4 linked regions of the Drosophila melanogaster genome follow. The gene in region 1 interacts genetically with each later gene. Each region holds a gene or a part of one and is shown in the gene's direction. Other genes may lie near its edges.

Region 1 (9,018 bases):
TCGGTGAAAGTGCGCATAATTTACACGCACGGCTCAAAGGTTTATGCCCAAATTAAACTCGCAATTCTGTGGCACATTTTTGCCATTTTGCTTATCAACCAAGGGAGTACTAAAGGCAGTGGGCATCGATGGGCAATTAAGAAAGCCACATGCGGTAGCCATCGCTGGATATCCGTTTACATCTGTTTTTCGCCTGTTGCAAGTTGTCATAATTAAATTATTAACCGAATGCCGAGACCTTGTCGCAGGGTAATTAGTTCTTCAGCAAAGCTTTCACTCTCGCAGTCAGAGCGGGAATTTCCCAGATACGATGTAAGGTAGATATTAAACGGCTTATTTTATAAAACTCCTAAACTTTTTAACATGCGTTTATCGATAAAATTGTGCGTTCATATTCCAAGAATTATTCTGAAATCTCAAAAAGCACTACTATTTCAAAATCATTTGTGTTTTTGTCACCTACATAGTTATAGTTAACTATTTTTATCTGTATTACAAACTTTTGAAATGGACTAACTGAAATTTGAAGTCCAGTGCGTACTTAAAAATATAGCATACTTTTAGGGCTTTCGTTTTGAAATACTACCATTCACAGAGAGCAACACGAATTTTGCAACACTGTTAGCTAGACATGGGAAAAAAATGTTATATAAATTATGATAAAATATTATATACATAAGACAATTTAAATATATATTTGGAAATGTTATGTACTTTAAAAATTCAAAATTTATGAACATAAAATCTTTACCAAATAAAAATTAATTTATATAAATAAAGAAATCAATAATTAGTGACAATAATTCTTCTGGTTCTGCTTGTGATGCAAGCGTACTAAGAAGTCAGTTACTTTCCTTTTAATTTTTATATTTAATATTTATATTCCTTTAACAAATAAAATAAAAAGTAACTACATATTTTCTTAAGTTGCGTGCGATGCAAAGTCAGTTCCTTTCCTGTTAACTTTACTGGTTTTATTTATCATAAAGTTGAGAGCAACTGGTTTTGACACTATCGATGGAAAAGTACTATCGATAGCTATCACCATTCGCCTCGAAAAACAACAACAATGCTACTTTTGTCGCCCATCGCTATTAAAACCTACAATCAATATGAAATGCAAGTAAACGTTGAAAACAGCAACAAATCAAGCTAAATAATAGTAGTGACTTTACTAATGCATTCGCACCGGTAAAATACATTTTGAAATAGTAAAAATTGTGCGAAAGCGACGTGGAAAGCCGTTTCAAAAGGCCAGGTACAAAAACATACGCACACAAGCGTAGACCGTGAGACGGGCAGGCACCCACACGCACACACATATGTAACCCGTCTTTTCCATGACAAAGTGAAATAGAAGAATCGTTAAGAAAATAAAGAAAGCAACAAAGTGAAAATAGAAGCATTGGCTCGATAACGTCTAGCAATTGAATGCACTTCCCTGGGACGTATATTTATCGATCATCGGTTGGAAGTGCGTGCGAAAACAACGGTTCTTGTATTAATTGCACGTATATGTACATAACAATTATATTGTCGCCGTGTGAGTTTTTTTCACCGTTTCTTTTACGCGGAGAGATCGGATGGGCCAGCGAATCAATGTACATGCACATATATCCGATATCTGCGATATAGGCGGCGACAAAGGAAGTGACGACGCAGTACGGCGGATTGGTATCCCGGGACATATCCGCAATTGCAAACTATTCGCGAATAAAACCAGCCGCTTCCCCAAATAGACATACACACACGGGCATATATATACATATGTACGTACACACGTCTGCTTGTGTACATCGCGCTTGACACCCTAACATTTGCGTGGAATGTTTGCACAAATATACGAAACCAGAATGCTCATCTCGGCACCACCCTACGCGGATTGTAGCGTAAACATGCTGGGAGATCTGTGATAGAACTAATCCATTCACCTCTCCTTATCTTTCAGGATAAACCAAGGATAACCCAGGTTAACTGTGTTCTTGTTGTGTTAACCATTGATTGCCGCCGAGGAAAGCAGGTTCCGTCATCGGAAAAGTCGGAGAAGCACCTGCTCTTCTTGCAGCTCCCTGCTCCGGAGTCCGAACCGCCAATAAAGTGGAGGAGCAGTGCCGACGCTTGCAAAGCATGAATCTGCGGGGAAATCCTCCCAAGAAGGAGGGCAAAATGCGCATTCGGGCCTTTCCGGTAAGAACCCACATTGGAGCATCGTTAAAACCACGATACACACTCTTAATCGTGTAATATTGCTAAGAGCGAACTAATATGAGATTATCTATTATCTGACAACCCGGAACTAATACAAGTTTAAACCACAAACTGTAAAAACATTTTCATTTTAAGCTCAAATCCAAGAAATCACTATGAAGAAAGAGCTTGCTGTCCACAGCAAGTTGTATAATCCCAGATTATGCCATTTCTTTGGTTCAAAAAACAATGATCTTCAAATTTTTAAGATTAAGCGTTTGAAAAGGTTGAGTGCAATTTGCAAACGAATTTAAAAAACGAGATATACTCATTTGAAAAGCCCCTTACTCGCTTTGCAGTTGAGATGAGAGTTGCAGCGAAAAATCTGTCGATCGCATCATGAACTTGCAAAATGTTTCGATAAGATAATGCCATTTGCGGGTATTAAGAGTTAGATAATTTTTATAAAACAATTAGCAAATTCACCGGTTAGGCGACACCAAACATTTCTCCCCACAAAATGTCAGGCGACATGAAAAGCAAACACCAAAAATCAAAAACAAATAAAAACATCAAAACACCAACCGGGGCCAGGGGAATTTTCAACACACATTTTAGTTTTTAAGTTACAACGAATTCAATCGTAGTTTTCGAGAAATTATTGTTGACCAACAACACACACAAAAAGACTGTGAACACCTGTATGTGGAGAGCAGGGTGAAGGGCGAGACCCGAATCGCGAGTAGAACTCTGGCCGGAGTACGGAGCACAGAGGAGGAGGAGGAGCAGCGGACCAGGTGTAGCAGAACCGCGCGGCGGATGTGACATTGAAGCTATCATCATTAAGTCGTTAAACCAAAGTCGGTCTCGCCAGGCACCGGCTTCAGCAGCGGGCTATTATCCAGCCCCTCGCTCTCTGGCACTCAGCGAGGAAGAGAGGAGCCACTACCGGGACAGGACGTGTGAGCTGGACCAGCGTAGCAATCTCATGCAAGGCCGCGATCCCCGCCAACAGCAGCCGGAGCCACTGAACAACCTCAACGCCAACGGCCGCTACCACAATCGCATGGTGGCCGGCTCCAACAACTTCAATGGCGCAACTGTCGGTAATGTGGACTCTGCCGTGCCTTGCCGGATTGCAAGGCAAAACGTTCTTGGACAGCAGGCGCGAAGCATGAACATCAATGTGCCCAACGCCTCCTCAATGCAGCAACACCAGCAGTCCCAAAATCGATTGTCCGCTCAGGGATTAGCTTCTGCCTCGCGGCGGAGTTATCACCTTGCCGCCAGCGGTGGCAGAGTTCGGGCTGATAACAGAATTAATACTAACCACCCGCTCACGCCGACGCCACTTTCCATGCCAGTTCCAGCTCCTGCTGCTCCAGCTGTCGTTAAAACTGAAACTAGTGCAACCACCTCTGGGCCATCAACCTCAGCTTCAGCGAGCGCAGAAAGTACAGAAAAACGCTTTAAGGAAATAGCACGGAAGTACCCACTCTGGCTACCGGAGTACAAGCGAAGGGCATTCAATGTTAGCCTACCATCTGATAAAAACCAAACAGGGATTTCAACTTTTAGTTAACTTACTAACAAGCGAAAGTCTTAATATCCCTCTTACACTCTTATGCATTTATAAGTTTTAATCCCTGAGAAATAAGTTCTTGACTATCCAAATTAATAATCTTATATTTCTCTTCCAGGCCTCCATGGACGAGAAGTACGTGGAGACCATTTGGGCCAGCTTAAAGAATGCTATCCAGGAGATACAGAAAAAGAACAACTCCGGACTATCGTTTGAACAACTCTACCGGAATGCGTACAACATGGTGCTGCATAAGCACGGCAATAGACTGTATTACGGTCTGAGGGAGGTCGTCTCAGAACACCTGGAGCACAAGGTGCGGGCGGATGTGCTGGAGGCTCTGCACAGCAATTTCCTACCCAAGTTAAACCAGGCCTGGACAGACCACCAGACATCTATGGTGATGATCCGCGACATACTCATGTACATGGATAGAGTTTATGTGCAGCAGCGCGAGGTAGACAATGTGTACAATTTGGGATTAATTTTGTTCAGGGATCAGGTAGGAATATCTTTATTGCATTTATTCCGTTGGAAATATATTTATCGCTTTTTCCATTACCAGGTGGTTCGCTATTCTGAGATTCAAAAGGCCCTGCGAGAGAAGTTGCTGGGCATGGTGATGGAGGAACGTCATGGCGAAGCCATTAACCATCTGGCTATCAAGAATGCTTGCAGTATGCTGATCACCCTGGGGATTAACTCGCGCACTGTCTACGAAGAGGACTTTGAAAAGCCCTTCCTTGCGCAATCGGCGGCGTTTTACAAATTCGAGTCGCAGAACTTTCTTGCCGAGAACAACGCTGGCGTTTACATCAAGAAAGTGGAAGCGCGCATCACGGAGGAATCTTCCCGGGCAGCGCTGTATCTCGATAAGGATACGGAGCCCCGCATTGTGCGCGTGGTCGAAGAAGAGCTGATCAAAAAGCACATGCGACCCATTGTTGAAATGGAGAACTCGGGCGTGGTGTACATGATCAAGAACTCAAAGACCGAGGATCTGGCCTGCACATATAAGCTTTTCTCGCGCCTGAAGGAGGAGGGTCTCAAGGTGATAGCGGACACAATGTCGGCATATCTGCGAGAGCAAGGACGCATGCTGGTTAAGGAAGAAGAAAACGGCAACACGAATCCCATAACATTCGTGCAGAACTTGCTGGATCTCAAGGACCGCTTCGACCAGTTTCTGGTGCACTCGTTCGCCAACGATCGCATATTCAAAAACGTCATCTCATCCGATTTTGAACATTTCTTGAACCTAAATAACAAATCCCCGGAGTATCTATCGCTATTCATCGATGACAAACTGAAAAAGGGTGGCAAGGGAGTGAGTTGAATTTACAATATGCTTTCTGAAATGTATTAATAATGTGTATTACTTTTCCACAGATGAGCGAACAGGAAATTGAGTCCATCTTGGATAAGACAATGGTTCTCTTCCGTTTCCTATTGGAGAAAGATGTCTTTGAGCGCTATTACAAGACGCATTTAGCCAAGAGATTGCTGCTGAACAAATCAGTCTCTGATGATTTCGAGAAGAATATGATATCAAAACTAAAGGTAGGTCAAGTTACTTGGTATCTTAGCATAATTATTTATCGCTTTAATCTCTATTATTGCAGACTGAATGCGGCTGTCAATTCACCTCGAAGCTAGAGGGCATGTTTAAAGATATGTCAGTCTCCAATACGATCATGGATGAGTTTAAGAACTTTGTAAATAATAACAATTTATCCCTTGGCGGTGTGGAGCTAACGGTACGCATACTAACCACTGGTTTTTGGCCCACACAGGTAAGCTTAAATTGTTCCATAATTATGTGAATAGGTTAACTTATCTTCAATTTCCGTAACAGACAGCAACTCCGAACTGCAATATACCCGCCGCTCCGCGTGAAGCCTTTGACATTTTCAAGAACTTCTATCTAAATAAGCACTCAGGACGTCAATTGACGTTACAGCCACAAATGGGTTAGCTACTTAAATGATCTTCTTTTTTAAGCAACTACTGTATTTATGCCTTCCCCTTCGAATAGGAACCGCCTATATCAACGCTGTGTTTTATGGCCGCAAGGCAGTTGAAAGTGAAAAGGATAAAGATGCACCCAGCTCCAGTTCAAGCGGCTGTGGGGTGCCCACCACCACACGCAAGCACATATTGCAAGTGTCCACGTACCAGGTAAGCTAAAATATCTTTTAGTTCGTACACCTCCGAATTTTATTTAGCAGAAGCAGCTTTATTTCATTGATCTGAAAAAAATATTTAACTAAACATTTAACATGTATTTCATAATCCAAAATTAGATGTGTGTGCTACTGCTGTTTAATAACCGCGACGTGCTCACCTACGATGACATACACCAGGAGACCGATATACCGGAACGGGAGCTCGTCCGAGCACTACAATCGTTGTCCATGGGCAAACCCGCTCAGCGTTTGTTAGTACGCAATTCTAAAACGAAAACTAAGGACATTGAGCCCACGGATGAGTTTTACGTAAACGACGCCTTCAACTCCAAGTTCCACAGGTTAGATATTACTTTCAGTGCGAAAGAACGGCGCCTGGTAATAATATCGAAACTATTTTAGGGTGAAGATACAAACGGTAGCCGCCAAGGGAGAATCAGAGCCAGAGCGTAAGGAAACGCGCGGAAAGGTCGACGAGGATCGTAAGCACGAGATCGAAGCGGCTATTGTGCGCATAATGAAGGCCCGCAAGCGTCTGGCTGTAAGTATTATACGTTTGCTATCTGGTTGGATTGTGATTTAACCATGATTCCTGTTTTTATTTTCTTAGCACAACTTGCTAGTATCAGATGTGACGTCGCAGCTAAAGTCGCGTTTCTTGCCCTCGCCCGTGTTTATCAAAAAGCGCATTGAGGGCCTAATCGAGCGCGAGTATCTGCAACGATCGCCGGAAGATCGCAAAGTGTACAACTACTTGGCCTAAGCGGCCCACAAAAAGTAGCAGGAGCGTCTTAAGCAGGATCCGGAACACACTCATCTTCAAATCGCCAGGGCTTGCACACTAACTGAAAAACACAATCTGCAGCTCGGACGGAATGGCCTGAGCATACGAGCGGCATTGATATGGCGGATACTGACCACGATTATAGATGACCGCCAGCCAATAACCCGAATACATAAATATATCAATTAGTGCGCCCCGAATCGTAAAATTTCGTTTCGCAACCCATTTTGTAAGCCTGACATTCAAAATTCAACAGTTAAAAATGCTATTGGATAAGGCACCACCATAATTATTATCCCTCTAATATATTTCTTGATATTCTCTAATTACTGTTTATGGTCATTTCTTTGCGCATAACAAGTGTATAGCAGTAAGCCCAAACAACCACATACACACCTGCTCCACCACCACCCCATTCAGAGCCACAACCACACACACCACATCCACCCACAAGAATCGTACGCAAAGCAAGATAAGAGAAATAATGCATAATGCAGCCCCTAATTGTAAGCAGCTGAGTAAAAAGGTAAAGAAGCAACAACAGAAATATAAGCAAGAAAATATTAATAACTATAAATATAGCTAAAGTAATAAATTTATAAATGAATTATGAATTTTAGAGAGCGTTTGATGTACATTTATACGTCGTCTGTTTCAATCCAAATAAAAACATTCATCCCACGTTTTGAGATGCGTGTGAACAGAACGTAAGGATTGCAATGACTATTCATATTCCTCTATCTTCATTTTTTGTGTACGCCCAAAGCAACGTGAAGTGATTATGATAATCTGTACGAAAAAGTTGTTTTATCTATTAGTTGATATGTGGGAATCGATTCCAGGCATATGTAGGCAACACTTCTGTAATGGATTTGAGTTAAGTAGGACACACATAGAATTGATTTTGAAAAACAATTTAACGCCGAACCGAAAGCACGAAAACGGAAGCAAGCAAACGCGATCTAAACACTGTAAATAAATTTTGTTCTTACATAAAAGAGAAATCGATATAAATAAAACGTATAATGAGCGTTAACACAGTTGTTGTCTATCTTTTAAAAGGATTTTAAAATATTTTCAATGAAATGCTTTTATTCGCCTGTACAATAAAACGAACTTGGTAACAATTTAAATCTGCAAAAAATCTACTGTTTTCAATTGGTGCCCAACATATTGTGCTAATCGTGTAAAATTTGGGATGGGCAATAAGACTTAAGGATTGGCATAATCATTCTCTGAATCATTCGAAATTTTTTAGTTCTTAATCTTTAAAATTCATGGTTTTTGCAGCTTTTTTCCAGCTATTGTGTAACCGCGTTGAACGACCATATCGGAGTTATCAATGCGACCAAACAAACTTATCCATGGGCAAATATACACCGGATGAGTTAACAATTATACGAAATTGGCAGAACCCCGAAACCGCAACTTGGGCAAACAGCGATGACTTTCGCATATTGTGTAAGATACATACATACATATGTATATCGTGAGCCCGGCCAGAAATTCAGAATGCTAAGTTCTTGGGTAAACACACGCAGCGATCCAATTCGATTCCCCGACGCACTGATAAGCGCTGAGAGTCCGTCGAGTTTTTCAACTCTCTAGAGAGCCGCTCTTGGCCGGTGGTGGTGGGGAGCGAGTGTGTGGAGCGGAGCGCTCAGTTCGGTTTCGTTGGCGATCGCGAACGGAGCGCAGACGAAACGCGCGGTATTTGGATCGTGGCAAGAAATAAAAACAACAACATGCTGAAACCGTATACTTAATACGCGTGTGTGTAGCTCAAAAACAAGAAAAATATAAATAAACAAAACTACATTGCTACGTCAGAAGACTGCAAACAAAAGATATGAACGCAGCGCGCTGAGCTGCTCTTGACGTCGCCGCCAAGGTTCGAATCAGATATATTTTCTCTATTTTTTATTTTTTTTTCCGCCCATTTTTGTGTTGTTTTTAATAAGCTTACAACTTTACAAGTGTTTTTTGTTGTGATTTTTGTACTTTCGTGAGTGATTTGTGATTTGCGATTTGCGTGCAGTTGAAGGCGAGGAGAACTGCATTCGATCTTTCCGATCAGCAGTGCCTTGAGATTGCCGCTTTCGAAGTGAACGTTTCGATGTAGAAACCTTAAAGTCATACTCATGTCTAATTACACAAGCTATTCCCTGGCCGACTAAATCAGCTCTTAGTAAGAAGAACGTGGTAATTACATTTTGAATTGATATCATGGCCAGTCGCCAAGCCGGTTTCGTCCTAGACGCCAAGTCCATGGGTCTGAA
Region 2 (9,535 bases), on another chromosome or scaffold:
TAGGCGGTTTTACTTACTAAAATAATTAAACTGTTTAATTGCACATGGAGGCTTACATATATAAGTAGAAATATATATTTTACAAGTTCTACAACCAACGTGGAGACTCAACTGTTGGGCTTAGTTAAATCAGACTTCTTTGCCTGGCAACTGAAGCAAACATTGCTAGCATCTACTGGTTCCAGAGATTTCCAATAATCCCGGTGCTGGCGTTGCGTGTAATTAAGATATTCAAGGAACGCGTCGTAGGTTAAGTCCACCGTGTTCCTGCATTGCATTCGATGATGATACGGACATTTCCGGTCGTATATCCAAGTGCGTTGCACGGGTGGCTTTACGCAAGCCTTATGCAAATAGTGCTTAAAAGCCTCCCGATCTTTTCCATAAAACATCCGCGTGGTCGTGTACGCGATGCCTTCATGAATGGCTTGGCGCACAATTGGCTGCGCTACGATTCTCCCCACCCCCACAGATGTGACATCCGGTTTCTGTAAACGGATGAGCAACCACGGCGGGATTAGTCCAAAACGTATGCTGGATACAACATCCGTTACGTTTTCCTCTCTTTGAGGCCAGTGGTGGCTTAGCCACCGAGCGGCTGCCATGAAGACCTCCAGCTCCGTATTCACGCCTATCAGATCCGATTGGATGAGCAATAGCATTGATTTCAGCGGCAGTCTCAAAAACTCTTTCGATGCCACCAGCGTGAGAAAAAACTTTGAGACGCGCTCAAGATATTGCAAATGGATAACCTCAAGTTTCAGTATTTTCGCCTCAAAGTACAGCATCGCAGCGGAGTCCTCAGTGAATCCATGATCGAGGCAATACTTGCACTGCCTGACCAACTGTGGAATCTCCATAAATTTGGCAGCGTGGAAAACCTCTAGGAGACCGAGTCGCGGCAAGACTGGCGTGTCCTCGATCATCCATTCGTAGATTAGGCCAAAGGAGCGTGGCGTAATCATCTTTTCGGGCAGGGCCACGCTCAGGTCATTGCCCATATCGCGAAACATTCGCGAAAAGCTCTGTAAGACCATCAGGTGCACGGGATGACTTGTCTTTCCTATGGTGATCTCTGAATTGGTCTTTGTACGTTGCTTTACAAGGCTCACAATCTGTTGGTACAAATTGACCTTCCCTTTTAGAACCTTACTGATTTTTGATTTCTTTAAAAGCCCGGCTGTCGAGTATCCCAATGAGAATAGTGTACGCTCTTTAAGGGTGTTGAAAGCGTCAGTCTGGATTTTTAGTTCAGAAAGGGACGAGCAATTGATGGCAGTTGTATTGATGAACAAATCCCTTAGCTCATCATTCATCTCCTGTATCTCTTCTAGCTCCTCCACCGCTTCGACATCCTTATTCGCCTTAGAAGCATAGCCGCGCAGGATGACTTTATTTGAGGAAACAATGTCAATAGGACAACAAGAACTGCCTTCCGGAAATGTGTCGTCTGTGTGGGGCATTGCATTCGAATCTCGCAAATGCCTTCACCAGTTGGACAGCTTCCTCCGGATGGAATTTCATTGGAAGTAGTGGGGAATGTAGACTTTTGTGTGAGCAGAACAATATTTATAAAAATGTGAATAAGTTGTAAACGTCACAAACTAAGCAAAGATTCCCAAGGATCACGAGGGGGGACTTTAATGATAGCTCAACATTTAAAAGTATTTCGAGTGCGTTAGCAGGTGCATGGGTCCGCTCATGAAGATAAGCTGGCAAAAAAGAAGATAAGAAAGCTTCGCCTGATTTGATTTGCAGCCTGTGTGCTGATAGATGACAGCTGAATTAACAATTCTCAGATTTATGACAGCACGCTTCAGAATGTTGTTCCAGAAGAATATATCTTTCTTACCGAAAAGCAAGAGTAAGCCACCACAAGAGTAAATATTTTCGCATCACTTGTCGAGTACGTGTAGTTATTAAAAATAACTTGAACGCTCATGTTTCTGGTTGCTGTTTGCTCAGATGGCTGCCGTTGGATATCCGATTCAGTATCTAAGTATCTCAGGTTGAAGGCCTTGCAACGACCCGAGATGCGGCAACTTGCCATCTTTAGTTAAATTATTCATCAGAAATTCATCATGAAATTTAATCTGCAGTGCGCCGCAGTATATCAACAATTGTCACTCTGGGGATGAGTCAACCAAACAACAAGCAACCTTCGATTTGCGGAATTGCTTTGTTTTTAAAGCCTCTAACGCCATACATATCTACAAAATGTAAACAAAGAAACCCTTGAGATTGGACAGATTAGAAAAGATAACTCCACTGCTGTCCACACCATAATCAACCCATGTGACGGAGTTTTCTACTGGAAAACGTGACCTGATCAAAGCATAAAGAAAGTAGCGGAACAGTGTAAAATATACACGAATAGCGTAGTGAGACAAATACTATTAAGCAAGGGTTTTTGCTCAACGACTCAAATCTTTTATTGGCCGCAGATTCGCGCTCTCTTAAGGGCAGAGCATTCTCTTTCATTTTCAGAAGAGACATCAAAGGTTTCTGGGTTTCCAAAAACATTGATAACAAGACTGAAAATACTGCACTTTGCACATTTATATCCCTTTTTTTAGCCAATAAAACTAATTTCTTATGAAACTTTTGAAAATTCGACAATGCTTTACATTTCTCCAAGTGTAGCGATTGCTAATGCGAAGTCAGATCTTGTGAAAGGTTAGTTTCGGACAATGGACATGGGATGTGGAAACTTCCGCAGTGGAACCGATGGCAGAAATAAGTTGTTGTGCCAAAAAGCCCCGATGATAGTACAGTATAATTCGCTTAGCTGCATCGATAGTTAGCTGCATCGGCAAGATATCTGCATTATTTTTCCATTTTTTTGTGTGAATAGAAAATAGAAAATAGAAAAAAAAAAATTAAGTTAGCTGCATTTTTAAGTTACCTGCATCGAGGCATTGTGCAAAGTACTCGAGGCAGCTAAGCGAATTATACTGTAGTTAAATTTGATCAGATGACGCAGCAGCGGCCAATCAGCCACCAATTGACGTCACAGGCGGGGAAAGTGCAGAGTTGGCTCGTCTTCGTCTTCGCAAAGTTTTGCAGTCATTGGCTGATTGATTTTTCCCTTGCGTGACACTGAGCAGGGTCAAAGGTTTTTCGCAAATGCCGCAGGACTGCATGCGTGGGTGTATCTCGATATACACACACGCATGTATGGATTAAAGGATACCCCCCTTGATGCACTTACCAGGTGCCACAATCCGATCATCAAAGTGGCCGTGTGGACATGCAGGCCGAAGCAGCAGGTGAACTCCTTCAGGTGACGGTTTCCGGTGCTGCTGCTACTTCCGGCGGCACCATTGTTGTTGTTGCTGTGGAGCTGGTTGCGTTGGGGACCCATCTTGAGGTGGATCCTAAACATTGCACGCCCCACGAAACTGCGGCTGTGGAAAATGAATGCGAAAACGAAAGCGATAACGATAACGAGTGCAGAAAATAATCAGCAATTGTGGGTGTTTTATTCCTCCCACGGATGTGTGTTTGTGTGTGTATGTGTGTTTAGGTGTAGGTGTGTGTTGCATCTACGAGTATGTATGTATGCATTTGTATTTATGTGTGCCACTTTTTCACGACTGATGCTTTGACCTTTTGCACTACTAATTCGGCAATTGATTCACTCTCCTTTATAAGGCGTACCTTTGATTTGTGGGCCAATGCAACTTGCACTGGTTTTCAACTCCGATTTATATCTGCAGCTCTTGATGTATTCAATTTTATTTAACTGCTGCGCAGCACGAAAACCCGTGAGCACTAATCTCTGAAAGTGGTAAAATGCCGCGCAACACGGTCACACTGACATTATGCGTTTTGCAGAACGGTAACGTTTATACGAGTCATTATTCGCAAATATCATGATATTATACAATAATTTTTGAATTAGATGTCATATAAATAAACAACAAAACGAAGAGATGTAAGCTCATTTATTTCTAAATATTCATAGTTTATGTATTTTGTGTCCCCAAATGTAAATTGATATGTTTTTATTACTATTATTGAAGTTAATATTATTTTTAAAATTTACTTCGAAAGGAGCAACTCAAGATAGGTTTGTGCTTCCGCATCGTAAAGTAAATATTAATTTTAAAAAGTACGGTAAGTGTGACCGGTGCGAACGCTAAAGCGCCAATCCGCAAACATCGATAGCAGCGATGCAATCAAAATACATGCTTTGCTATCGTAGGGTGACCATAACTAAAAGATTTGGAGAGCCAACTGCAGCAAAACAGAGATAAAATTGACAGCGAACGGAATTGAAATGGCTTAAACCGCATGCCTAATCAGACTCGCGTAGAATTTTAGCCCGTGTTTATTTTATTTATTGAAACGAAGCCAGTGAACGTGGGGTGCAATTGCTGTTATATAAAAGTACGGCACTGTAACTGCAGTTTTACAGTAAGTTTCGTTTATCAGTTCCCCTTTGTGTACCTTGTTTCCTTCAGTTTTGCGTCGTTCGTTAGCGCGCTCTCTGTCGCTCTCTCTCTATCTCTTTAGTACGTATCCATCCCACCCCTTCTCTGTTATTCCCAACTACGTCACCCACCGAATTCACTTTTGTTTGCTATTTATAGCTGCGGATTAACTGCACTTCGCAGCCAGGAACATGGGGATATAAAGTGAGAAAAAGTTGATGGTCTGGTGGTCCGTTTTCCATATCGCTAATCGCGTGTTATCAGGGCCAAACAACAGGCCATCGTAAATAAGCGTTTTAAGCTGTCAATCAGCTGATTTTGCATCCATAAATAAAAGAGTGCTGCTTGTAGCCTTATCTGTAGGTTAACCACATATATTAACCTGCTTCAAACACCTTTCTCCGATTTCGGACGTCCCAAATTTTCCAGCCGCGGTGGCTCAGTCGTCTAAGGCAACTGGAATTCCCTACGAAATCAGTGCGCGAGTTCGAGTTCGAGTCTCCGCCCATGCTTGTTGGCTTCTTCCGACGATCACCCACGTTATTTAGCCGTTAACTCCTTGGGCTACATTAATTTTTTTTGTCATTTCCCTAACTTACATGTGTAAAAAAAAGAGTATCTTACATGTGTTTAGTTTATCTCAAAAGTGGAACAATCCTCCTTTAAAAATGTTTGGAGTGGGTCTTCAAAGAGAAGATCATATGCTTACGTTTTTATAAACTTAAACTTCCGGATGATACATTTCGAAAGCAAACCTTATCCCCCAAGGTGCAGTAGATAAAATCTGTCAAGCGTGAAAACTTGTTATTAAGTTTATTTTAAACATGTTTTAAAATCGTTTGGAAATGCACTTTATCTTACCACCATCGAAACAAAAGCTTCAGGCACTGCAAATGTTTCAAAAAAATTAAAAATAGTTGACTATAATAACATGTATGTTTACCCTAAACCTTCCTTTAATTTCTAAACTACGACTTTTGGAAACTCGGGTTATACTTGGAGGTCCGGCTTTGTTTGGTGGTCTTGGTCATCCCCCTTTTGTTTGTTTCCCTCTCAATCTTCAATTCTCTCTGCTCTCTGGCTTCAAGTGGTGACGTAATTTAAAGCGCTGCAATCGTCTTGTTTTGGTCTTATAAGAAATACACGCTTTGGGAACCGGTTTGGAACACTACTCTTGTTTTCGGAACTGCGCCACACCAAAACAAACCTTTCTCCACCACGGCAAAATCATCATCATCATTATTTTATGCTTAGTCTGCGTCCGAATAGATATCCATAGTCCGAGACTGTCCGGTCGCCCATATCAATGAGATCCAATGAGGTGACGAAAGCGTCCGTTTGATTGTTTATGGGCAGCAAATACACATATATACGTGTAGTAGCAGTAGCTTCCAACGCGGCCTTGACATGGTTACATCAGCTCGTCCAGTTCCAGCATTTGGCGGCAAAGCATAAACACAACATATACGCGCATGGAATCGAGCTCGTTTGATCTCATTCTAATTATAGAGTCCCGCCCCTTTAAAATTACCCAAATATGTTTGCGCTACAGTGCGGTTCAGGTCGTTAAAATCGCTTTGAACGGATGCTTCTCTGTTTCTTACTACATTATGTATTCCATGCACACAATCTTAATAGACTCTACAAATTGAATTGCATTTTGTCGACCTTAATAAAATAAATGTTGCCTTTATACACACCTTTAAAAACTAAAATACTAAGATACATGACTTGTAAAATCTAATAATTAGTCTTGGGCTTATTGCGTACCTAATCAAAAAGACTAAGCTAGATATCAGTTCAGTTACTTGCAATCTACAAATGACTTTAAGTTTTCCGAGCATCGCTGCTCAGATATCTTATGACATCACCATTGTTTATGAATGGATGCGCTTTCCACTTGGTTTTAGGGCCTGTAAAGTCGCCCACACTAATGTTCGCCCACCCGGGAAAGGTTTCCCCGCCTTAACAGCGGCTGGCGTTACAGTTTGGCGGAATGAAACTGGGTCAACTGGTTCCATTGAGGGCACCATCAACACGCAATCTGTCAGATCGATAACAGACCGCATTTTTATTGTAAACTCTATTCATGTAGGGAAATCTAAAAAAAAAATTGTATATATGCTGTTTCAGAGTAAGAATTCCTGCGCTCAGCCATGGGTCAAATAGTGGGATCCATGCATATGAACGTCGCTGAGGTGTTCAGCAATCGACGGAAGCGGAAGCGCAGCACTGATTCATCTTTGGGGAAGGATGATCCGGCCCAGTTAGACACCACTCAGCCCAAAAAGTAAGTGGTTACCTTAATTAATTTAAGGTAATTTAATTTACCTGCTTAATTTCCGCAGAAAAAAACTTCTTACTACCACCCAGTACATATACAAGGCGCTCTTCAAGGAGGAAAAGAACTCGGATGTGGCTGTCATGGCTCTGGATAAGGTCTGGCACCTGCATAAGGTGTACCTGAGCCAGAGTCCATACTTCTATACTATGTTCAATGGGACGTGGCGGGAAGCCCAGCAGAATTTCATTCAGATCACAATCCTGGACGACCGGATCACCGTTGCTAGCCTGGATGCTGTCTTTGGTTCCATGTATTCCGATGAGATCGAAATCGAGTCAGCAGATGTTATCTCGGTATTGGCCACAGCCACGTTGTTCCACTTAGACGGAATCATCGACAAGTGTGCCGAGGTGATGGTGGATAACATTAGTCCGGAGACAGCTATCCAGTATTACGAGGCCGCCTGCCAGTACGGTGTGGTCGGAGTCAAGAAGTCCACCTTTCAGTGGTTCCAGATCAATCTGCTAAGCATTTATAGTAAGCAACCGAACCTGCTTAGGCACATCTCCATTGAGCTGATGAGTGCCCTGACCGCCAGTCCCGATTTGTATGTGATGCAGACGGAGTTCTCGCTGTACACTCTACTGCGCACATGGATGTTCCTACGACTGCATCCCGACTACGATCCAGAGGACCCGGTCCAGCGGGCGGAGGCGCTAAAGACGCAGGAGCTTTTGGTTAATGCCGGCGTGGAAACGCATGCGCCTAGTGGTGATGTCGTCCAGTGGACATACTTTACCAGCCGCTCGGAGGAACGCTCGTTCTTGGCCACGCCCGAGGGGCAGCCTTATGTGAAGGTCTTTCAGAAGCTACGAACCCAGTACCTGACCAACCACTACATGGATCTAAAAATCATATACAATGACAATATTATACCCAAGGAGTGGCTGTATCGGCACATTCACAACCACTGGGATGCATTACTACGTATCGATCATGGGCAGGAGGATTGGTAAGTCTTCTGAAGCCTCTCCTGGAATTATATCATTAAAAACTAAAATCCTTTTATTCTGCATTCACAGTAGTCCTCAGCAGCTGGACGATGAGCAGTTCTTTGAGAACTGCATGCGATGCGGACGTATGTTGCTTGAGCCTGGCTACCAGAAGTGGCGCTGGACGGGCTTCAACTTTGGCATGGATCTCATCCTGATCATGGACTCGCGTAGACTGAACATTCGTCGGCACCACCGGCACGAGCACGAGCGAGTGCTTAGCCTGCAGACGAAACGCAAGTTCATGGTCCGCACCACGGTGACCTCGATAAACGCCCAGCGCCAGGCAGTCTTCACCCAAACGTCCGAGATCTGTTCTCTTAGCCTCGAAAAGAACGAGGAGGTGCCACTCATGGTGTTAGACCCAAAGTTGGTGCATCCACTTCTCATTTCAATAAACATGCTGGTGGTAATGCCACCGAATCAGAGTTTCAAGGAAATTGTTCCGCTCAGCGAGGAGGCGACAACCTCTCTCTCCATACCCATTTCGGAAATCGGAGCAAACAGCGACAGACCGCTGTCCCCGTCCAGTGCTGATGATTCGGCCGTTTTCATTGGTGACTCTGAGCCTTCGACGCCATCCTCGCCAGCCCCACGGCCCAGAATCGCTTGGTCGGCTAGCGAAACGGGCGCAATCTGCGGACAACTGGCGTGCTGAGCACGTGCTGAGCAGTCCACCAAACCAATACCAGTACCACCACTACCACCATTTTTTTGTTCATTTACCCGCAGCAGTTCGGGCTCGTTGTAGTTGTTTTGTAAATTCGTTTATCGCCATCGCGATTAGCTACGGCTGATCACTCCATCTAGACGTTTGTACATCGAGTATAAGCATATCCGCAATCGTTTTGGAATGCGCAGATCTATATTTTTGTATATCGTTTACATCACTAGTATCATGTAATGACGCTTTACGTCATCTACTTAAATGGAGTAGACGCACACTCTAGTGCCCTCGCACAATATGTAGGCGTTGCAAATAGTTTGTAAATTTGGAATTTAAAGATTAATTGTTATGTTTAAGTAACAAGAAAAAACGCGGCAAAGAAATTATGGTTTAAGCGTCTTCGAATCCTGCAAGTTCAACGCATGTAATTACTGTCCCTAACACATTTTTACTCGCTAAATGTACGCACAGTAACTATTACCTTGAGTGATCATTTATTAAAGATTACACTTAATAAAAATCTGCTCTGATTTAGTTTTGATTGTGATCCAGGTCGAGAAGGTTCCTCACCACAGATTCCTGCCAAGACTTTAAAAAGTTCATCAACATCCACTGTGCCTGTGGTCGGCATTCTTCCCCAGCAGCGGATTTTCGCAGTTGCGCCAGGACCCAGTTGACTTTTCTGCTCCGCGATCGATACGTGTAGTTAAATCTTCGCGCAGCAGCGATAAAGGGTTCTTTCTCCGACAGACTCATGTAATTCCACACCTTGCCGGCAATTAGAGTTACCCGATCCGACGGCAAGTGGCCAAGGCAGTTGTTGGAACATTTTCGAAAGTAGGCCAGAAACTGAAAGAACGGGTTGCGTCCATTGCAATCGTTGTTTTGCTTTAGCATCGAATGTCCACTGATTGACGTCGCCTTGGCGGCACTGTTGCAATGGGCCGACCTTACTCTATTATTTTTTACAGCACGTCCCATTTTGGGAGAAATTTGAAATCATCTGAATACACGAGTCTAAAATATATATGTATACATATATGTATTTGTCTAACAATTAAATCAAAGTACATATTCGGGGTCGTTTAACAATTGA
Region 3 (7,032 bases), on another chromosome or scaffold:
CGCTTGCCACTGTTTTGTTGGTCCTCGGTCAGTGAGTCCGGCGACAAATTGCAAATCTGAACAAAATCATGGCGAATGAATCATGAAATATTTCACCAAGAAATATTAATAGTCCTACCTCCACGCGATCGAAGTGGTTAAGAAAATCTTGGAAGGACATCCAGAACTCTCCGTCTCTGTCGAATGTTAGTCCAATCTCCGCCTTCTGTTCCTCGGGTATATAGCGCCATTCTGGTGAGCTATCACTCCATGGTCCATTCCACTCGGCTTCATTGCCCCAAGGATTTCGCATTCTTATCATAGGGATCTTTCCCTGACGATTTGGCGTTACTATGTCAATAAGGCAAACCTGTTGACATAAGATTAATTAATAAAATGTTCTTATCATAGCAATTTTCCGAACAAACCTTGGTTATGGAGTAAGCGTGACCACGGATTAAGCCCTGAGGAGTTTCTGCCTCCGTGACATTTGGATCAGGCTCAATCGAGCATCCCATCATGGAATTGCGTTCAGCTGCTTTTTGCAGAATGGTGAATAGATTGCCGGGTGCTTCTTTTAAATCGTACCACTCGGATACGCCGCCAGTAAAGTCCTCCATGGCCTCGCAAGTGCTGCCTCCCTTTAGTGCCTCGTAGGATCCATGAAGTCTAGAAAGCATATATACATCAGTTGACCATAAAGTATGTGAATAATGTAGTCCTACTTGGCATAAGCCTTCTCCAGCAGGGCGCTCCAGAACTCGTTCTTCTCCGTGGAGTGCATGTACATCAGCTCTCCATTATAAGTGGGCAAACGGTCATCAATGATTACATCAACCCATTTACCTTAAAATTTTAAACTAAAATTGTAAGAAGCGCATGAATAATTTTTTTAATAAATAATTTACCATACTGCCAAAAGCGGAAATGGAAGATACCAGCATAGTTCTCCTCGAAACTCTGTTCCGCTGGAATTACCCGAAAGAAAAGGTTGGATTCCTGAGTTAAATTGGCTGTGGCAGCCAAGAGCCAACTGTAAATGTAAGCATTTATTTAAAACTATTAATTATTCTGGCTGCGGAAATAGAGATTTTGTTCTTACCAGTCACCAAGCTCGCCTTGCTGAACATCAAAACGCGAATAACCCTCCACAAAAAACTGGGGATTCTCGGCAATTTCCTTTATAATTAAAGCATTTATACCTTTAGTTACGGGTAATATGGTAGTATCTAAAACTTACATGAGGTCTCAGCCATTCGATGTGACGATCTGGACGCCGGGAAAACTGAAGAGACTCGTTCGAAGCCGGAAAAAGTGGATCTTCGAAAAGGGAACCACTGGCCAGGCAGCTGTTCAATATTGTCTCATAGTCCTGCACCTCGGAATAGGGTCCCAGGCTCGAGCTCTTCTCTCCCAGCTAAAAAATACATGCTATTAGTGATATGAATCTAACAAAATTGATGAACTTGATTAAGAGTATTATGTATGTACACGATAAAGTTGTGTAATGGAGTTGTATAAACGATGATGCGTTTTACACTTTACATGCGAAAGAAAAAGAACACAAGGACAACACAGTACGACACTTTGGCAGCGCATTATCCTTGGAATGGAATTATGTCAATGCCATTACGATGACGGGAGTAGGTACTTACGTTCCCATAGTACAACGTACTATTACTTTGAGATTGCAATGGTTGCTAATGAGTGGAATGTATATGTATTTGTTAACATGCATATGTAGATTTCAATGGATTGTTTTCTATGTTTGTTTAGTATAGTATAGCGCCCTATAAATAACTGTTGATAACCGTGTGGGTCAACTTACAACTCTCATATTCTTGATGCTGGGCAGAACCCTCTTGGTGTCGGCCTCCTTCTTGATGAAGATCTCGTTGATCACCGATCCGACCACATCCTTGGCCGCTCCCATTGCAGCCTCACCAGCTGCATTGAGGAACTCCTGTCCCGCTTGCCTCAAGAATCCCCTCAAGTCGTCCATCGTGCAGATATCTGAAAATATATGTACATATATAGTTTAATATCAGTTAGCAGTGTAAGGTGCCGCCTCAGATTAAAAACCCATTAATAAATATTTATTGTTCAAACATTTGATGACTAGTTAGCAACATCCAATATTTTTTATATCGCCCATATTTACTTATAAGCCTCGCGGTGGAATTAAAAGCACACCCAGAGACATAAATATGGTTTAACGAGCATTACAGAATCGTTAGTATTCCCAGTGTGACTGGAAGTCGGGCTAAATGAAATTACTTTAATTCACGCAAACTGAAATTATACTTTGGAGACAAGAATGTCTCGGTTCGCACCCAAATATAATTCAAATGTTTCTACATATACAATGCTGTATTTATACATATGTAGCCGCTATATATATATGCTATATTGTGTGACATCATTCGGAAGCATGAGATTCTCTAGTGACTCAAAGGGTGTGCGCCATTCGGGAGATTAAGCTTCGTTTTTTATCCATATTAAGCCGGGATATTGACATTGACCCATGGAACTACTACATATGTACGACACATATAGGGTATATATTTCTGTGACAATAGTAAATTGGCCTTTAATTGGGGCGAAATATGCTAGATTGGCTGACCCATCTGTTATTGTATTTGCGAACATTGGTAATTCTACGGCGAAACCCAAACAGGTTTGGTAATTAATGCATTCTTCTGGCCTGGCTCATTCCCGTGACCACCATATTTTCGTAAAGAATAGTATATTCGTCATAGGCACTTGATATTTCTAATACTATATATATTTGCCCATTTTCCAACGGACCTTGATTGGTCGAGAGAACGATTTCCGAATCGAATCACGCACTTTCACTCCCCAAAATCACAGCACAACAATAAAGTAACGGAACCACGCACCTTCACCGCACGGAGATATTTACTCACTACAAATATTTATATCTGTAGCTCAACACCTGACTGCTATCGAATGTTTTGGTATTTATTTTTATCGAAGTATTTTGCCGAAATTTGTGATTTGCCAGCCCTATTTCAATGTAAATATATCGATAATCGCCCGATTTTACTGAAAAATATTTCGATAAGAGCATCGATATTTCAAACAAATATCGACCCATTGACATGCGTCAGGTTTGTCCATCCCTAACAAAATCGTAGTACGAAATATCGAAAACGAAACACATCACGCGGGCGAAATTTCGTGAAGTTCAGCATTTACAAATTGTAAGCAGTGGTTTTATCGAACCCATTGACCAATTAGTGGGCTTCTAAAATTAGTGATAGACTTTATTAAATGAAACGAGAAAATAGAGGCGAATACACCCGTACAGCAAATTGACCATCGATTTTTTCACGGCATTGCCGGTGACGAGAATGCGACGCCGTTCATACACACACACGCACGGACACGAATGTGTGTATATGGCGCGGCGCTTGTGTGTGAAAGTGTATTCGTATAAATAATATGACATAATCGACGTGTGCGGCTTAATTGACATAGTTTTTGTGCGAAGAATACCTAAAAGTGCGAAGAGAGCGCCAAAAAAGGCGTTTTTTGTTTGTGGTCAAGGTGGCAAAAAGGACTTGCACCGCTATTTTCCCCTGCGCTTTGCTCCAAATATTCGTTCCTCCCCATACACTCTCTCGCACACACACAAGCGTGTATATTTGGGCGTTGCAGGATGAAGAACTCTCTTTCTCTCTCCCACTTTCCTTCGCTCTCTTCTCGTATTCTCTTGAACACTTTTGCGCAATTTGAGTGATTTGCAAGGCAAACTAATGCTTTTCGATTGTTTACCGAATTTAGTTAACCCCGTTTGGAAGCCAGTTTGTCTGGAAGTTACTTCAGTTTAGTTGTTTTCAACATCTCCACTTGACGTTGCCTAACACTGCCCGCCCTCTCTCTCTCGGCTTCTTTGCCACTGTCCGTGCGCAGTTCTCTTTTGCGCTTCATTCGTGCTCTGCCCGTCGGACGTGTCCGTACGATTTTGGATTAAGTTCTCGTAGGCAATTCAACTTGAAATATTTATTCGCTGCGGTGCAACTAAAATTTAATTCAAAGAATTAAAAGTGCTAAGTGCTGTTAGGAGCGGCAATTTTGCAAAAAAAAAAATATTAACAGTTATTTGGTGTAGTGCAAGAAGCCCAAAAGAGAACAAAATTATTTATTTTAAACATATTGCATTCAAGGCAATAAAAAGTTAAATCTATTAAAATTTTCTACCCTCTCCCTCCCCTTTTATTGATAGTCTCCCTCTGTGGCGTATGTGTGTTTGTACGAATTAGCGGCTGAAAACCAAAAACCGAGGTGCGAGAGCGAGAATACATTTATAAAAAACGCGTGCGTTTCTCCTCTAACACATACAGTGAGTGTGACCGTTGTATTTGTGACCTGTGCCTGTGTTAGCGGCCACTGGAGGATCAACGAATTTAAAAGAATACTAAAAGTACCGGTGAGTATTCTTGCATCTACCGGATGATGTGTTATAATCCCGTTAAATAGTGAATGTCCCCTCGTGCCCTGCATTCGTTTTAACCGTTATGACGATGAGCGGCAATTCGGCCGGTGACGCCATCTTTTGTGCTTCTCTAATAAGTGTTGTTTTTGTTTTTTGGGTTTGGTCAAGCTCACGCAACACGGCGTGTGTGAGTGAGTAGTGTGTCTATTTTGTTGTTATGCTTCATAGACAGTGGCGAAACTACAGATTATTATTCAGGGGTCATAAATGTCATTTAAGATCAAGAACATATTATATTTAAATTTATCCGGAAATATGAGCAAATGTTTAAGGTGTAGCACCACATTGACCCCCATTCAGACGCCACTGTTTGAGCTTCTAGTTCTAGCCACTTTTCTTCTCTCTTTCTCTTTTTTCGGGTGGGTGTGATTGTGTGTGCGTGTGCTTTTCCTTTCCATATGATTCATGCTTCTTTCTACCTCCGGCTTTCTATGCGCTTGTCAGATTAAAAAAAAAACCCATTTTCCAATTCTCGTCGCTGATTTTATTCATCTTTTATTTGGCAATTTGTTGCGAATGCCACTTGCAAATCTCTAGCCGTGTGCCTAATGCACTTGGGCAATAAATCCGCCTGCTGGCGCGCATCTGTGGGCAAGTTTCATGACCCACTTTTCCTCCTTGGTCTCTCGCCTTTCAGCAAAGTAAATAGTGAAAAGCAGCAACAAGTGATAAACAGATTTGTAAATATTGAAAACTTGTTTATGCCATTTGTCAGTGCAACCCAATGCCTACAAAATAGACTTTATAGGTATCGGAGGTAGTTCTTGATACTCAGTCAGTTCGATTTTTAAATTTTTTGTTGTCATTCAGAGCCCATCTTGATATTTCTGTAATTTATTGTAATCTTGAACGAATAGGAATTGATAACCTTTTACTTTAATTATTCTTTAACCCAATTCAATGCGCTATGCTTAAATGAAACATTACGCTTATAGAATTTAATATAATTTAAATTAGCAATGTTTCCTATAAAACTTTGTTTTATATATAGCCTTCTATAGATGTTCTTATGCAAGTCATAGGAGTTCGATTGTGTGTGTGCTCTCCCGCAATCTTATCAGAACCTTCGCGCTGGTTACGTTTTCTTGTTAGATTGCTGTTTCTATACAAGTACCTACATATCCACATTACAACAAGCCAACAACATTCCCAATTTAAGTTATAAGGAATTTCTCCTTTGCCACCAACTAACTACCTACCTATTTACAACATTCTTCGATTTCTATTACCTTACTTCCTGTTCTATATACTCATCATATCAAATTCGAGCATTCCATTTGCCTTAGCTACATATTTTGCGATACATGACGTCATTTCGCACACATTGCTTATAAAAAAGGTAAAAAAATAAAATAAAAATTTGCTCTTTTTGTTTGCTGGCTTTTGTTGCTAATTCGAATTTACTCATAGAAATACATGGGCAGTGGGCTTTATTTATTCATTGCTTATGCTGCCTCCCCCTTTATCACCCCTTATCAAGCTTTTCACTTGTTCCTCTTGCTCTGTTGTCCGTTTTCAATTCGCAAATTAGACGTGACTCGTTGGTTGAGGGTTTCAATTGAGGTTTTTTGCACACCGCAAGTTGCATTTAGAGAATTTTCGAAAATCGTTGAGGCATTATTTGTATTGAATTCCATTTGCACTACGAATACTGAAAAGGTGAAGCAGACTCAGTGTAAAAAGACAACAAAAATAATACAAAAACGATTGCTTCCGCTAAAAAAAAGTGACACATAAAAGTATCTACACAGAAAAAAAAACGAAATATGATATAACCTAAACAACATAAAGTAAAGTACGAAATCTTTACGGATTGGAAAATTCTGAATGTTTTCGTAGTCAACGGGTCAACCAAAATAAAATTGACTGCCTCTTTTTTTCTTTGTGTGCGTTTCATTCTCACGGGAGGAAGTGCATAGTTAAAACTGTAAACAATTGTTGAGGAAACTAAACAACAAAAAATGTTTTGGAATGGAAATGAGACGGAAATTCGAAATTGTGAGCCCCCGAAACCATAACAAATAAAACAAATAAGAAAAACGATAAGAAATGCACTTCAAGTATACGAAAAGACTAACTTTCTAACCTTTATTGAGGCGTGTCCGTCAATGCAAATGCATTTGATGGGGCCAACCAGTCCTAATGACTTTTGATTTGGGAACTGAAAATTGTTTACTCAAGCGTGTGCTTATCAAAATTCCCACTGACGTCACATCACTTGTGATTAATTGATTTGAAAATGGTTAGGATTAAGCTGAATAATTTTGATTAATGTGGCTGCAGTGGAGCTCCTCTGCGAGTCTGGCAACTCTGGCTAAGACGAAAAACAAATTTGTCCAAGAGCGAATGCTCAAAATTTATGGCTCCCTAAAAACTGAAAAATAAATTCTACTCTGTTTCTGCCCCAAAGCCAATTGACGTGAAGATGCAACAGAGTGAGACGGGAAAATGAAGGGGAGATAGCCAGCCTGAAAACCCTCACACATAAATAAATAAAAGAGGCGTACGTGCCAAGCTTCAAAACAGAGACACAT
Region 4 (5,829 bases), on another chromosome or scaffold:
CGTCGTTTTCAAATGAAGTGTAGGGAAGTCCGCGCATGTGGATTGTATAATACTCGATGTCGTTGCCCCGACCGCCGCCGATGGGACCGAAATTGCCACCACCGCCCATTGAGTTGCCGCCGCCGAAGTTCGAGCCATTGTTGAATCCGCCGCCACCGCCGTTGTTGCCTCCTCCGAAGTTCGAGCCGACATTGTTGTTTCCTCCAAAGTTACCGAATCCAGAGTTTCCGAAATTTCCGTTGTTATTGTTGCGACCGCCGCCGATCGGGCCAAAGTTGCCAACACCACTCGAGGATACGAAGTTTCCGCCGTTATTGAAACCTCCTCCACCATTGCCGCCAAAATTGGAGCCGCCATTGTTGCCGAAATTATTAACGCCACCTGGAGAATTGAAGTTGTTGCCACTGTTGAAACCACCGCCGCCGTTGTTGTTGCCGCCGAAGTTTCCGCCTCCATTATTGCCGAAGTTTCCAAAGTTTCCGCTGTTACCACTGTCGTTTCCAAAGTTGCCGGAATTTCCACCGTTGTTGCCGCCACCAAAGTTGCCGAAATTGCTGGGTCCAGAGTTATTTCCAAAATTTCCATTATTTCCACCTTGGTTGTTTCCAAAGTTGCCCGAGTTCATCAGGCTTGGCAGATTGTTGAAGCCCAGCATGTTGTTGGCACCAACGCCAAAGTTGCCATTGTTGCCCCAATCTTTGTTTAACATCGGAATGGCAATCAGTGAAGTTTTATAAAATTTAACAATTAGATCTGAACATACCATTGCGCCCTCCGCCGAAATCATTGCCACCACGGTTGGCACCACGATCACGTATGTCATAAGGGCCAGGGCGTCCTCCGACACCGCCACCGGCGCCTGTGGCCCTCTTCATTTCAGCAATCGAGCTGCGGAATATCTCAATATACCTATGTGAATAAAAGTGGAAAATATATGTATTTTAAAAGTGGTACTTGAAATTGCTAGGGTCGGTGGCTTTTTTCCATGATCAACTATTAAATATCACGTAAAAAAATGAAATCAAAATAAATTCATTGAAATGATCAAATAAAATAAATAAAAATGCTGTTCACAGTTTAATTAATTTGTTAGATAAAGCACATGATCGCGCTTAAACATATATATGTATTTAGAGAGCCCCACCAGACCCGTAGCTATGGGAAAATTTTTTGCTAAATGATTTCTCAGTTACTGAAATAGAAATTATTTGTGATAAAAGTTATTAAATATTTTGTGAATAATTGTATAGTCCTTGTGTGTTTCAACAAGTTCGCAATCGATTACCACTTAATGTTTTAATTTCGCTGTTTTTGTTGTAGAAGATATGATGAATTAGAAACCCACCTGTGCCCAATTTTTTCCCGATTTCGGCCCAAGGCTTGCTCAGTGTCGTCCTGGCTTTCGAACTGAACAAAAGCTTCCCCAGTTGCACGACCCCTTCTGTCCATAACAAAAAGTATGCCCTCCCGATCCGTTTTGATATCCAACCCTGCCCATGACGATAACCAACAAAGATTTATACAAATATATAGATTTCATATATATATATACATTATGCAAGGTTAAGCTTAGATAGAAAAACAGAAATACAGAGGTTGATAAATGTTATTGTTTAGTTCCAACACCGCAGAACTTTTGCAGGTTCTCACGGTATTAGCAACGTTTGCATAAATAAACAGTGCCTTTTAGTCAAACTATGATCACCAGGCAAGATGCGACTGTTGCAATCGAGTTTCCCGGACCACAATGTATTACAAAACTCAGATCCTGTAACTCGTAGACATGTGTAGCTCAGTTGAAGGTTGTGAGTAATGATCGACCATATAACCAAGTAAACTGGGTTATGTGACCAACGAAGGAATGATTTATCGGACAAGCGGACGTGACCGCGTCAACTCTCAGCCGTTGACTTTGGAAGGAGCCGCGTGAACCGCCGAACCCATTACACAAATGCAAGGGCCTGCATTTCTTTGCCCGACAATATGTATGTACGTTGAAACGCATGTGTAATTGATATATGAAAGGTGTAGATGAAAGGGGACCGTAGGCCATATCTCAACGATGTGAACAAATAATACATGCGGTCAACCACTGTCTTTTTTCCTGGTACCTGGTACATATTAGTATGGAAAGAGGATTTGGGTCAGGAAACTTACCAGAGAAGAACTCCTCGATTTGCTGCTCAGTGACGGCATATGGCAGACCACGAAGCTTCACAACGAAGGCCGTGCCGTGTCCGCTGATCTTCCGCATGGCTTCCTTGGCCTCCTTGGGCGTGGCGGTAAAAACTAAAGAAATAAAAACCAATTACATCAGTTAAAACGGAAAAAAAACAAACAAGTTTTCTGCACCATTTTGTGTTTGTTATTAAGATAAGAATTAACATGAATACAGATTATAAATGGTGGTGTGAAATTTACTTTACTAAATTTTAGTTTACCTCGATAGAAGCAAGGATAAGAGTAACAATACAGTGACATATTTGTAAAACCTCCTTAATATTAGGTAAAATTCCACAATGAATGAAAAGAAAATAAGCGCTACCAGTATAAGTAGCAAAACAATGAAGAAATAAATCATCTTCGATTCCATGTATGGAATCAGAACAAGTTCAAGCTTGTTAAAAGGATAAACATATAAACAAAGTGAGAAGAAACTAACTATAACTGCCAAGATAGTCATCAGGTACAGTCATCCCCCACTCAAGTGGCAAATAAACAAACCTTCAATGTAGCGGTGACCCATGCTGGCCTTGTTCAGCTTGCGAGCCTCTTCGACGTCCTCCTGGCTGGCCACCTCCACGTACGCCTCGCCGGTGTTCTTGCCGTCGACCCGACTGGTGACCAGGTGAATGCCCGCCGAGCCATTAGTCACATTCACGTTTTCCAGAAAGTCGAGTATCTCCTTGTGCGTTGCGGACCAGGGCAGGCCGCGCAACCGAACGAATTTGGGGCTCTCGCCGACGTTTTCGATCTTGCCGCCGCCATCTTCGTTGTACTGGTCATCCTCATCCTGCTGCTGGTTGCTGTCGTCGTTGAAGTTGTCGCCATTTCCCTGCTGGCCGTAGTTAAATTGCACGTCTGCGTTGGACATTTTTCACCAGATCTCTACCTGCAAATGGTGTTACAACGATTAGTCACTGGTTAACTAGTTTTAATTGTTTTTTACTGGCTGAAAATGCGATTTTTTGAGCTAGTGATTCTCCACTCAGCAGCGACGCTTGTTTGGTGCGATTCTTTTTTGCACCGCGTACGCCATTTTGATTTCTTGTCACCCCTAATTGCTTATGACATTTTGCAAGTCTCGTACACAATATAAACGCTTCTAAATGTCACACCTGGTGGCGGAACAGAGAACTAACCGTATTCTGCTCTGTTTCAACTTCCAATATCGCCTTTTTTTAAACTTTATCGGTTAATTTGACTTATTTTTCAGAGAGATTAATCAAATAGCACGCGTCAAGTTGAAGATGCAGTGTGACCGCAATTAAATCATCAAAAAATACCGCCTGGCAGTAGCCAGCATCAATGTGGACCGTTGAAAAAGAAACAAGGTTTGATTTTGATTTTTTTTTTGCTTTTTTTGGGCAAGATAGAAGAAATTAAATATAAGGAAAATGATAAACTAACTGTGATCTTACCCGAATTTGAAATATACTGAAGCAGAAACATTTTAAATATCTCACTGTTCCGTGACAGCGACAGTTATAAACGTGTCCATCCCTGGAAAAGCCAGTGTTGCCAACCATCACTCAGATCTGTCATACCCGTGTGAAAAGTAGCAAGAACAAGAAAAGTGAGTCGAGCTGTTACTTAACCAAATTTTTGCAATTAACAAGCATTTTACTGTTTTTAACGGCAGCATGTTGAGCATCACGGCCCGTAACCTGGCAAGCGCCCTCCGCAGCAGCCTCGTCGGCACATCGTCGCGCGTGGCCGCCGTGCGCTGTCTGCACGGAACCGAGGAATCGGCGGAGGAGTTCGACAAGCGCTACGAGAAGTACTTCAGCCGTGAGGGCATCGATGGCTGGGAGATCCGCAAGGGCATGAACGATCTGCTGGGCATGGATCTGGTGCCCAGCCCCAAGATCATCGAGGCCGGTCTGCGTGCCAGCCGTCGCGTCAACGACATTGCACTGGCCATCAGGTGGCTGGAGGGATGCAAGGACAAGTGCGGCGACCAAAAGGCCACCCTCTATCCCTACTTGCTGGAGAAGATCACCCCCACACTGCAGGAGCTGGGCATCCCAACCATCGAGGAACTGGGCTACGACAAGCCCGAATTGGCCCTGAAGTCCGTGTACGATGCCTAAGCGGAGAACACTAGTTTAAAAACACAGAACACAATATACACGTTACAGCGACACTAGCTACCTACTATCCAATGTATGGTGCGGATGAACATGTTGTTGGATTGCTAATAAATGGAGATTGCAGTAAGGCTACCACACCAGCACAAGGTTGTTTTCCCTGTTGGTTACGTAACACCCAGGTTAGGGAACTGCATTCGGGCAGAGATAAACAAAGCGGCTGATAGCAATTCGTTTATTGTCCGGCGACTATTTCCATTTGGACAGCAGTTCGGCCGCCTTATCCAGGTTCTCTTGCTTCTTGATGAAGCAGTAGCGCACAAAGTCCTCCCCCAGATGTTTGTTGGGTTCGCTGTAGAAGGCACTTGGCGGTATGCCCTGCAAGCCCATGTTCTTGGTCATCCACTTGGTAAACTTGTAATCCCGATGCTTGTCTGGCTCAGAGCTTAGATCAATCTTGCCCGCCAGTGGTGACCAGTCTGCCAGCATAAAGTAGCCACCCTCAGGAATGGTGGGACGCATACCGGATTCGGACAGGAACTTGGCCATGAAGTCACGCTTCTGCTTCAGCTCGCGCGGCAGGCTAAGGAAGTAGCTCTCCGGCTGACCCAAACGGGCCAGTTCTACCTCGAAACTGCGTGCGACGCCCTCCTGGAGCGGCGTTGGACAGGTGTACACAGAGTTCTGATGCACCATCTGCAGGTTTCGAATCAGTTCAGCGGGTCCGTAGGCCCAGCCTATTTTCCAACCAGTTACTGAGAAGGTCTTGCCCGCTGATCCCAGAGTAATGGTGCGATCCCACATGCCCGGCAGCGTGCAGATACGGATGTGCTCGGCTCCGTCGAACACCAACCACTCATACACCTCGTCCGAGACGCACAGCACATTCCACTTGCGGCAGAGCTCGGCTATCCTCTCTAGCTCTTTCCGGTTGAAGACCTTTCCAATAGGGTTGTGGGGCGTGTTTAGGATAATCATCTTTGTTTTAGAGTTGAACAGACTCTCGAACTCAGCGTCATCTAGCACCCAATCGGCAGAGCTTATTGGTCCCTCTGTCTTGCGCTAGAAGTTAGACATGTTAAAAAGAGGGATATATTTTTTTTTTCTATTGTGGTTCTTACCAATTTTAGGGGAACAAAGCGGGGCACTCCACCGGCCATCTTGACCATAGGCTCGTAGCAATCAAAGAATGGTTCAATAATGATCACCTCGTCGCCCACGTCCACATGGCCCATGATGGTGGAGTAGAGAGCCTCATAGGCGCCTGAGGTAATCAGTATGTCGCTGAGGGGATTTAGCTCCTTGCCGACGAGACCGCTATAGAGCTTGGATAGCGCATTGACCAGGCGAACGTGACCGTAACCGCGAGTGTACTGATGCAGAAGAGGATTCTGCTCCTTGGCAATGTCGGCCAACGAGTGGGTCACGTACTCGGGAGCGGCATCATCGGGAAATCCCTGTCCCAAGTTCAGGGGCTTATATTGCATGGCCAGGGCAATGTACTCGTTCCAGACGCTGG

Evidence for each region.
Region 2: of Cul3 (region 1) and gcl, changing one suppresses a phenotype caused by changing the other (phenotypic suppression), as found in Drosophila melanogaster (one study listed by BioGRID).
Region 3: of Cul3 (region 1) and hts, changing one suppresses a phenotype caused by changing the other (phenotypic suppression), as found in Drosophila melanogaster (one study listed by BioGRID).
Region 4: of Cul3 (region 1) and COX5A, changing one suppresses a phenotype caused by changing the other (phenotypic suppression), as found in Drosophila melanogaster (one study listed by BioGRID).

The regions. Positions count from the first base shown.
Region 1 is NT_033779.5:15,264,074-15,273,091, reverse strand, and holds Cul3 (cullin 3), read left to right. Parts: upstream 1-2,767; 5' UTR 2,768-3,175; coding exon 3,176-3,718; intron 3,719-3,887; coding exon 3,888-4,271; intron 4,272-4,334; coding exon 4,335-5,096; intron 5,097-5,158; coding exon 5,159-5,329; intron 5,330-5,391; coding exon 5,392-5,562; intron 5,563-5,624; coding exon 5,625-5,739; intron 5,740-5,804; coding exon 5,805-5,947; intron 5,948-6,072; coding exon 6,073-6,296; intron 6,297-6,357; coding exon 6,358-6,496; intron 6,497-6,565; coding exon 6,566-6,718; 3' UTR 6,719-7,063; downstream 7,064-9,018. Other genes in the region: yuri gagarin, read left to right, coding at 8,966-9,018.
Region 2 is NT_033778.4:8,720,046-8,729,580, forward strand, and holds gcl (germ cell-less), read left to right. Parts: upstream 1-4,212; 5' UTR 4,213-4,419; intron 4,420-4,595; exon of another isoform or gene 4,596-4,640; intron 4,641-4,859; exon of another isoform or gene 4,860-5,020; intron 5,021-6,569; 5' UTR 6,570-6,592; coding exon 6,593-6,726; intron 6,727-6,784; coding exon 6,785-7,732; intron 7,733-7,802; coding exon 7,803-8,430; 3' UTR 8,431-8,954; downstream 8,955-9,535. Other genes in the region: CG14767 (uncharacterized protein), read right to left, coding at 3,212-3,385; CG30357 (uncharacterized protein), read right to left, coding at 108-1,463; CG30356 (uncharacterized protein), read right to left, coding at 8,971-9,420. UniProt on the Drosophila melanogaster protein: Required for the specification of pole cells and germ cell formation. Mothers with reduced glc function give rise to sterile adult progeny that lack germ cells.
Region 3 is NT_033778.4:19,420,994-19,428,025, reverse strand, and holds the start of hts (hu li tai shao), read left to right. Parts: upstream 1-3,122; 5' UTR 3,123-3,203; intron 3,204-3,911; exon of another isoform or gene 3,912-4,228; 5' UTR 4,229-4,432; intron 4,433-7,032. Other genes in the region: CalpA (Calpain-A), read right to left, coding at 1-56, 119-349, 408-648, 705-825, 888-1,012, 1,082-1,158, 1,220-1,396, 1,635-1,679 and 1 more. UniProt on the Drosophila melanogaster protein: Required for assembling actin at ring canals in developing egg chambers. Probably interacts with other developmental proteins involved in nurse cell/oocyte transport through the ring canals. Important for normal neuromotor function.
Region 4 is NT_033777.3:11,815,849-11,821,677, forward strand, and holds COX5A (cytochrome c oxidase subunit 5A), read left to right. Parts: upstream 1-3,510; 5' UTR 3,511-3,554; exon of another isoform or gene 3,555-3,572; intron 3,573-3,699; 5' UTR 3,700-3,796; exon of another isoform or gene 3,797-3,862; 5' UTR 3,863-3,863; coding exon 3,864-4,313; 3' UTR 4,314-4,451; downstream 4,452-5,829. Other genes in the region: glo (glorund), read right to left, coding at 1-696, 764-909, 1,346-1,490, 2,158-2,289, 2,725-3,094; Kyat (kynurenine aminotransferase), read right to left, coding at 4,560-5,372, 5,432-5,829. UniProt on the Drosophila melanogaster protein: Component of the cytochrome c oxidase, the last enzyme in the mitochondrial electron transport chain which drives oxidative phosphorylation.